2 linked regions of the Canis lupus familiaris genome follow. The protein of the gene in region 1 interacts with the protein of each later gene in a biochemical or structural test. Links are inferred from orthologs where the notes say so. Each region holds a gene or a part of one and is shown on either strand. Other genes may lie near its edges. The genes, in order: CDC34 and RNF7.

Region 1 (3,899 bases):
AGGGTCCCCGCCTTGGGGCAGCCGCCGGAAGCCGCTGCCGGGCCCGGGGCTCTTCCTCCGGTCCCCTGTCCCTCTCCTCTAGATGAAATGCTGCTTCCCTCGCGCCAGACAAGGCTCCCTGTGTGTCCTCACCTGGGCGACGGCAGCGGGGGGCGGGGGGGCAGGTGTTGGGGCACCTGGAGGAGGGGCTCGCAGCACAGGTGCTGGTCTGGGGCCTGCCGGACACCTGCCAGCGAGGCTGCGGGCACAGCGCCACGCCCACCCTCTGGGTCCCTGAGGGCGTGGAGGATGGAGGCCGGGGCCAGGTGTGCGTCCAGGTGTGCGTCCAGGTGTGCGTCCAGGTGTGCGCCCGGCGCGGTGGGGACTAACCCCGCCCCCAGCTCGGCCCCGCGCTCCGCTCCCCCGAAGGGAAACTGAGGCCCCGCCCTCCGCTCCTCCCCTTCCGCGAAGCCACCTGCTCCGCCCCGCCCGGGCCAGGCGACCCCGCCCCGGCCCCGCCCCGCGCTGGGACGTCATAGAAAAGACCCCAAAAGCCCCGCGGCGCGTGCCGGGCCGGCGCAGCCCAGCCCTGCCCGCCTCCCCGCGCACAGACGTCCGGGGTGCTCGTCCGAGCGGCGGGCGGCGGCGGCGGCCTCCCGGGGGTCGGAAGCGCCCAGGCGCCTGCGCGCTTGGCCTCCCCCCCCCCCCCGGTCCCTCCCGGCGGTCGCGCCTGCGCGCTCGGCGGGCCGGGGGCGGGGACTCCACTTCCCGGCGTGCCCCGCGGGCGGGCGCGCAGGCTCAGTGCGGGCCCCGCCGCGGCGCGCAGGCGCGGTCGGGGGGCCGGAGGCGGCGCGCACGCGCAGCGCGGGGCGGGGCGCGCGGGCCAGGCGGAGGCGAGCGCCGGGCGGGCGGCGGCGCCAGAGCGAGTGGAGCGTCCCGGGGTCCCGGGCGGCGGCGGCGGCGGCGAGGAGGAGGAGGAGGAAGGCGGCGGCGGCGGCCCCGGCGTCCCCCCGGCCGGCGCGCGGCCCGGCCCGTCCCGCGCCCCCGCGGCGGCCCCGCGGCCCCGCGCGCCCCCGACCCCGGGCCCCGCCGCCGCCGCCATGGCCCGGCCGCTGGTGCCCAGCTCGCAGAAGGCGCTGCTGCTGGAGCTCAAGGGGCTGCAGGAGGAGCCGGTGGAGGGCTTCCGGGTGACCCTGGTGGACGAGGGCGACCTGTACAACTGGGAGGTGGCCATCTTCGGGCCGCCCAACACCTACTACGAGGGCGGCTACTTCAAGGTGAGCCGCGGCGCCCCCGCTCGCCCCGCTGCGCCCCCCGCCGGCCGCGGGGTCCCCGAGCCGTCCCGCCGCGCTGCCTGGAGCCGGGAGGGCCGCCGCGCCCGGCCTTGGCCGCGTTTCCCTGGTGTGACAAAGGACTGGAGCCAGGCCCCGGGCGGCCCTCCTGACCTCGCCGCCGGAGCCCGGTCGGGCCGGAGGACGCTTCTCAGGTTGCAGGGCCGGGCCGTGCACGCGAGCCAGAGGCGCGGGCCAAGGGGTCTCGCTGCCGAGCGGTGGGGAGCGAGCCCTCGGCCCAGGCCGGCCCAGGACCCTCCCTGCTCGGGAGCCTGCGCGCCCCGCCAGGCCCCGCCAGGCCCCGCCAGGCCCTGCCAGGCCCTGCCAGGCTCTGCCCCGGGCAGGGTGGGGAGCAGAAGCCAGGCGGTGGGGGAGGGGCGGCCGCTGCTCCCGGGGCACATGTCTGTGTTTGCACTTTCAGCTGATGTTTTAGCTGAGCCTGCTCGGCCGCGGGCGTGAGGGAGCAGCCTGGTCAGCTGGGGCGACTCCCGAGTTGCGAGCACCCCACCGTGGTGCTGCAGTGGGACGAGGGGGCGTGAGCGTGGACAGCCCTGGGCTAGCTTCTGCATGGCCGGGGAGCCCGGCCCCCGCTGGCACGCAGGGCACGGATTTGGGGTTGGCCACCTAGTAGCGCATCTAGGGCCCTCGCCAGCCTCCTGTGTCTGCTTCGGGCTGCAAGGGCGACGGCTCTCGCAGCCGGGACGCTCAGGCAGGCCGAGCCCCTGGGTGAGGCTGCAGAGCTGGAGGGAAAGGGCACAGGCTTTGGGCTTCTGATTTTTGCCGGTTAACTGGTTGCAAGGGATTGTGGGTAGATCCTCCAGGATGGCTTTGGGGGGGAGGGGTCATCCCACTTGAGAAGAAGGGACTGGAGCTGGGCCACGGCCAGATTTCCAGATGCCACAGGCCCTGTCTGCAGGAGGCCGGCCTGGGCCCCACACCCAGTGTGGTCCTCGTGCAGGTGCGACGGGCGGGAGCGGAGCTGGGGAAGCGCAGGGAAGTACCACCGTCACTTCCAGCCACTTCCCCCAGCGCCCTGCGGCCAGCCCGGCCTCCCGAGCCTCCGTGACCAGACGGGGTGCCAGAGACAGGCAGTTCAGAGGCCTCCTCCCGGCTTATCGCCGGGCGTCCTCAGTAGGGGACTTTCCTTCTCTGAGCCTGAGCTTGCTCAGTGGTGCGGTCTCCCCGGGGGATGCTCGATTCGGTGGGTGCTTGGTGCCAGGGAGCCCCCCCGCCCCGCCCCCGAGGGCCATCACTGGAAACTCTTAGGGCAGGTTCTGAGTTCCAGGAGTGCTCTGCAGTCGCCAGCCAGCTGCCTGCCTCCTGGGCCTCAGCATGGTCACCCCAGAGCAGAGGGACTTCCCCCAAATGCCCCGAGTGCCCCCTGCCCAGGAAGGAGACTTTCCAAATTCGGGCCTGGGGGAGTTGCCGCACACGTGCCCAGCTTTGTCTCCCAGCTCGCTGGCTCGCCCCTGCCGGCCTGGAGCTCCGCCAGGATCCGGGGCCAGGCCTCCCCACGTCTGGGCCTGGGGCTCAAACAAGCCAACACGGCTTCTTTACCTGCTGAGGCCTGAGCAGTGTGTCACCTGGGCAGGTGGCCCTCCCCAGTCTGCCCCGTGACCTTCCTGTCTGCCTTCCTGGCCCCCCCGTGATGGACACTTGTGGGCAGAGAGCCCGTCTGTCCAGCGCTGACTCATCTCCTCCCACAGGGCCCGGCCCACAGAGGTGTCGGGAGTGATTGCTGAGTGAACACACGTCTATTTTAATCTTCCCCACAACCTGGAAACTGAGGCCGAGGAGTCCACCACCGTGCGGGGGTGCACAGCTCCCAGGGCCCTGCCAGCCGGAGCCATGTGCCGGCCCGAGCCCGCCGCGCTCCCTGGGGCCTGGCTGCGCGTCCCTCCCACAGGCCTGGACTGAGCACGGCCTGAGACCTGCTCCCAGCCGCGGGGTGGGGCCCGGATCGGCTCGGGGGACCCTGAGTAGTCCTGGGGCCTGCGGGCGGTGCGTGCGGCAGGCAGGGTCCAGGCGGCCTCCGGGCGGGCGCGTCTGTCCCAGCTCACACCCTGGTCTGCGGCCCTGGGCTGGGGGCCGTGGGCGGCACTGGCTGAGCTCCTGCGCTCTGCCCTCCCAGGCACGCCTCAAGTTCCCCATCGACTATCCCTACTCCCCGCCGGCTTTCCGGTTCCTGACCAAGATGTGGCACCCCAACATCTACGAGGTGAGTCCGCCGCGTGCCCTGCAGCCTCCCTGTCGGGGGACACGCTGCGCTGCCTGCCGAGTGGTGAGCGGTGTGGGCCCTGATCCCTCCGTCCTGTACCCACAGACGGGGGACGTGTGCATCTCCATTCTCCACCCCCCAGTCGATGACCCCCAGAGTGGGGAGCTGCCCTCAGAGCGGTGGAACCCCACCCAGAACGTCAGGTGAGAGTGGACCGGGCCCTGTGTGAGGGGCTGCTCAGCAGATGGACCCCTGCCCCTGTGGGGCTCCCTCAGGCCCGGCCAGCCCTGGGGCGCGGACGCGGGAGGACAGGGCCACGACTCCCTGCAGTACCGTCCAATCTGCCCTGGCTGGCCTCCCGCCGGGATGCG
Region 2 (3,899 bases), on another chromosome or scaffold:
AGAGTGTTAACCACATCAGAACAGGCTGACAGGCAAATTTTGGATCAAGAAGTCATAATGAATCATTTAGGTGATTTATGAATTTGAAATATTAAGGAGATGGAATTAAGTGGGCTCTTTTGCAGAATCTAGAAATTTCTGGATTATGATTTTGATTGAGCTTTGATTAGACTCATCAAAACCCAACCTAAGAGTGAAAAACAACAAAACCCAACCTAAATCTATAAAAATTCATAGTTTTAGATAAAGAAAATTCTTTCCATGATATTCCTAAGATCTAAAACAGAACATTTTTAAGGAGTACAATTACAGCAATACCTTTTAGAATGATGCTACTAGGGTAAGGCTTAGGAAGTCTGAAAAACTTCCTTCTGTTGTCACCTGGCCACTAAAATGGATTTTAACACCTCATAAACAAAATACAGAGGTCTAGTCCAGAATACTTTCCTTAACTCAAAGGACAGCTGTTGTAAATCTGCAAAATTAATCCACAGTCAGAATACTTGCTATAATTAGAAGGTTACTATGAATGTCAACCATTTATAGCCCATATTCTGACTTACTCTAAATATGCCAGTACAGTTTATTTGTTGCAGTATTTCAACCATTACTTTGAATTCTGCATTTCTACTTACAAATCTAAAATCTTTCTTTGGGGAGAAATATAAAAAACACTTTCTGGAACACTTTCTTTTTAACTAAAGGAAATTTAAAGGATAAAACATTAAGCAAAGTTTGCTATGCAAAAGAACAAAAAATTAAGTTGCCTGGATAAGTTAATGATGCCACTCAAACTGGAAATTATGATAGTTTAAGTAACCGAGGCATAAGGGAGTGGTAATGCAGACCAATAAACTGGGTGCTTTTAAGACCTAATATGCAAAATAAGTGGATCGTGTCTGAAATCAAGTTCTTTCAAAAGTAAAAAATATCGTTCCAATTTTAGCATAGGTACTGCCCAAGCGGGCACTCAAAAGTAAAAAATAAACAATACTTGAATCCTATTGTCATAAATACTCTCTGAAACAAGATTTTATGAATAAAAAACAAGTGTGCTTAAAAAGAGTGGAAACTGAGATTCTCTCCATTCTAGCAGGTTTTAATGTCATCCCTTGAGAGAGCAATTCTGTTTATTTTTCTCCAATTCTCTCATTTTTCAGAGCAGGACACGAAGTTTTCAAACTGCAGAACCTCAGTTTTCCCCACCTACCCCTAAGAAACACGAAGATCCTCTCTCCGTGTTTTGATTGTTCTATTAAAAAAATAAAAATAAAAAAATAACTTGCGTTTAGGTAGCATTGTCTTTTGCAAGGTGGTTTGAGATCTTAAAAAAAAAAAAAAAAAAAAAAAAAAACAGAGAGCATATAAAACGTAACAGGATGAAGCTGCTCTGAAAGGTCTCGTTTGGCCCAGTGTTTTCATTTGGAAGTATCACAGAAAAGAAGTCGAGACTTGATTTGTGCAAGAGGGCTCTCCATAAAGGTCTGACTCGGAGCAGGGCAGGATCGTTGTTTTTTTTTTGTTTTGTTTTTTGTTTTTCTTCAGGAAATGGCATCCTATGATAGGGAGGGGCCAGAAGGAGATGGAAGCTTTATGTTTCTGAATAAGAGGGCATCCACTCTTCCATTCCTGAGAACCTTCAATATTTTATTTTATTTTATTTAAATGTTATTTATTTATTCATGAGAGACACAGAGAGAGCGAGAGAGAGGCAGAGACACAGGCAGAGGGAGAAGCAGCTCCCTGCGGGGAGCCCGACGCGGGACTCGATCCCGGGTCTCCAGGGTCACGCCCCGGCCTCCGGGGTCACGCCCCGCGCTGCCCCACGTCCTTGAACCACCCTGTGTCTCTCCGAGGCCCCATCGCGGCGCGGGCAGGTCCGCAGGCCTGCGCAACAGCAGTTCGCCAACCCAGACACGCGACGGCTGCCGCGCCTCCCGCCGCTGCGGGGCGGACTGAGGGGTCGCGCCGGTGGGAGCGGCCTCCAGAGCATCACCCCGGCGGGTCATCGCTGCCGTTAAGGTGCCCTTACTCGCCCGGGGCCTTTCACGCCGACCCCTCCGCGCCTGGCTTTCAAGAGCTGGAGCTCGCCGCACAAACCTAAGTGGCTTCTCTTCGCTGCCATCAAATGACCCAGTTTTAGTTCTTCGGCCACACCCTTTCTCTACCTGGAATTACATCAATTCCTCCGCTCGCTGCCCGCGTCCCTCCCGGGCAGCCCCGCTCCCGGCGCCCGGCGCCCCCGAGCCCCAGCGGCGGCCCCCGCGCCCCGCCCCGCCCCGCTCCTCCCGCCCCGGGTCTCGCCGAGCCTGCTTCCCCCGGCTGCCCCCGCCGAGTCGGCCCCGCGGAGGCCGTGGCGCGGCCCGGGCCTCGCGTGCAGCGCTTACCCATCACCTGGACCCTGCAGATGGCGCACGTATCGCACTCCACGTCCCAGCTCCACATGGCCACCGCATTCCACTTCTTGAGAGAGAACATCTTGTCGCCTCCGGACTTGGAGCCTGCGCTCCCGGAGTGAGAGGACACGGCGCAGGGCTCCTCGCCGTCTTCCACGTCGGCCATGGCGGCGGCGCGGAGCCGGCAGCCGAGACGTTAAATCGGGGGAGGCGGGCGGCTATGGCGGCTCCGCGGGGCCGCCCGGCGGGCCAGAGCGCCCCCTGCAGGCCGCGGACCCCGGCGGCGCCTACGACCCGGGCCGCCTCGATTGGCCGGCGCGGCCCAGTGACGTCACTGACGCCAGCGCCCGGCCGCTCGTCGCCCCGCCCCGCCCCCGGCCCGCGGGGGCCTCCCGGAGGGCGAGGCCTGCGGGGCGACTGCGCGCGAAGCCTGGGTGCCCGCGGCCCCGAGCGCCCTGCGCAGGCCCCGGGCGACCTGCCGTGTGCCTGCCGTGTGCCTCCCGGGAGCTCAGCGCCCTCACAGGCCTCTCGTTCGTGGCACCGCCGCCACCCGCGTGTGGACCCCGCCGGAGCGGGGACCGCGTCTTCGCCCTCGGCGCCTCGTCCTCCGTATGCAGGAGACGTTTGCCTCCAGGTCTTCCGACAAACCTGGTTCAGCGGTTCTCAGACTTTCGGGGCTCAGCACCCCGATGTAGTCTGTCTGCTTTTTAAGAAGCTTAAATCGACGGGCAGCCCGGGTGGCTCAGCGGTTTGGCGCCGCCTTCGACCCAGGTCGTGACCCTGGAGACCCGGGATCCGGATCGAGTCCCACGTCGGGCTCCCTGCATGGAGCCTGCTTCTCCCTCTGCCTGGGTCCCTGCCCAACCCCCCTCTGTCGCTCATGAATAAATACATAAAATCTTTTTAAAAATTTGAGGGGAGGATTGAAATGCATCCATTTAAAAGTAACGGTAACAGGGGCGCCTGGGTGGCTCAGTGGTTGAGCGTTTGCCTTTGGCTCAGGTCGTGATCCTCGGATCCGGGATCGAGTCCCACATCCTTGCAGGGAGCCTGCTTCTCCCTCTGTCTATGTCTCTGCCTCTCTCTGCCTCTAATAAATAAGTAAAATCTCTCTCTAAAAAAAAAAAAAAAAAAACTAATAGTAATCATCTCATTACAAGTTATTAGAGGGATGGTGCCCATATAATGTAGCTTCTGGAAAACGCTCTCATAAAGAGGGAAAAGAGGGAGAATAGCTCTGAATCCTGGCATGCAAATAGTTTTGACCCGCTGGTCGCCTGCAAGGATGCCCCGGACGCAGGGGTCCATGCTCCAAGAACCTCTGCTGCTGTTTAACCTCCTCTTTTTAATGTGTAGGAGTAACACCGCTATTATCATGTGAAGGTGCCAGTTATGAAGCCTGGGCGCTTCTCTTGCTAGCCTCGGGGTCATGTTCTTCTGTTTTCTCAAGCAAAGAGACAACATCTTCCTTTTTAAGAGATAAGAAAGTTGAGGTACCAAATG

Evidence for each region.
Region 2: the proteins of CDC34 (region 1) and RNF7 form a complex in vitro, tested with the Homo sapiens proteins (5 studies listed by BioGRID). The link is inferred for Canis lupus familiaris from reciprocal best matches to the Homo sapiens genes CDC34 and RNF7.

The regions. Positions count from the first base shown.
Region 1 is NC_049241.1:58,444,812-58,448,710, reverse strand, and holds the start of CDC34 (ubiquitin-conjugating enzyme E2 R1), read left to right. Parts: upstream 1-1,057; 5' UTR 1,058-1,079; coding exon 1,080-1,256; intron 1,257-3,441; coding exon 3,442-3,528; intron 3,529-3,633; coding exon 3,634-3,731; intron 3,732-3,899. UniProt on the Homo sapiens protein: E2 ubiquitin-conjugating enzyme that accepts ubiquitin from an E1 ubiquitin-activating protein, and catalyzes its covalent attachment to other proteins by an E3 ubiquitin-protein ligase complex. In vitro catalyzes 'Lys-48'-linked polyubiquitination.
Region 2 is NC_049244.1:38,109,709-38,113,607, reverse strand, and holds the start of RNF7 (RING-box protein 2), read right to left. Parts: upstream 2,657-3,899; 5' UTR 2,563-2,656; coding exon 2,388-2,562; intron 2,169-2,387; exon of another isoform or gene 2,101-2,168; intron 1-2,100. UniProt on the Homo sapiens protein: Catalytic component of multiple cullin-5-RING E3 ubiquitin-protein ligase complexes (ECS complexes), which mediate the ubiquitination and subsequent proteasomal degradation of target proteins.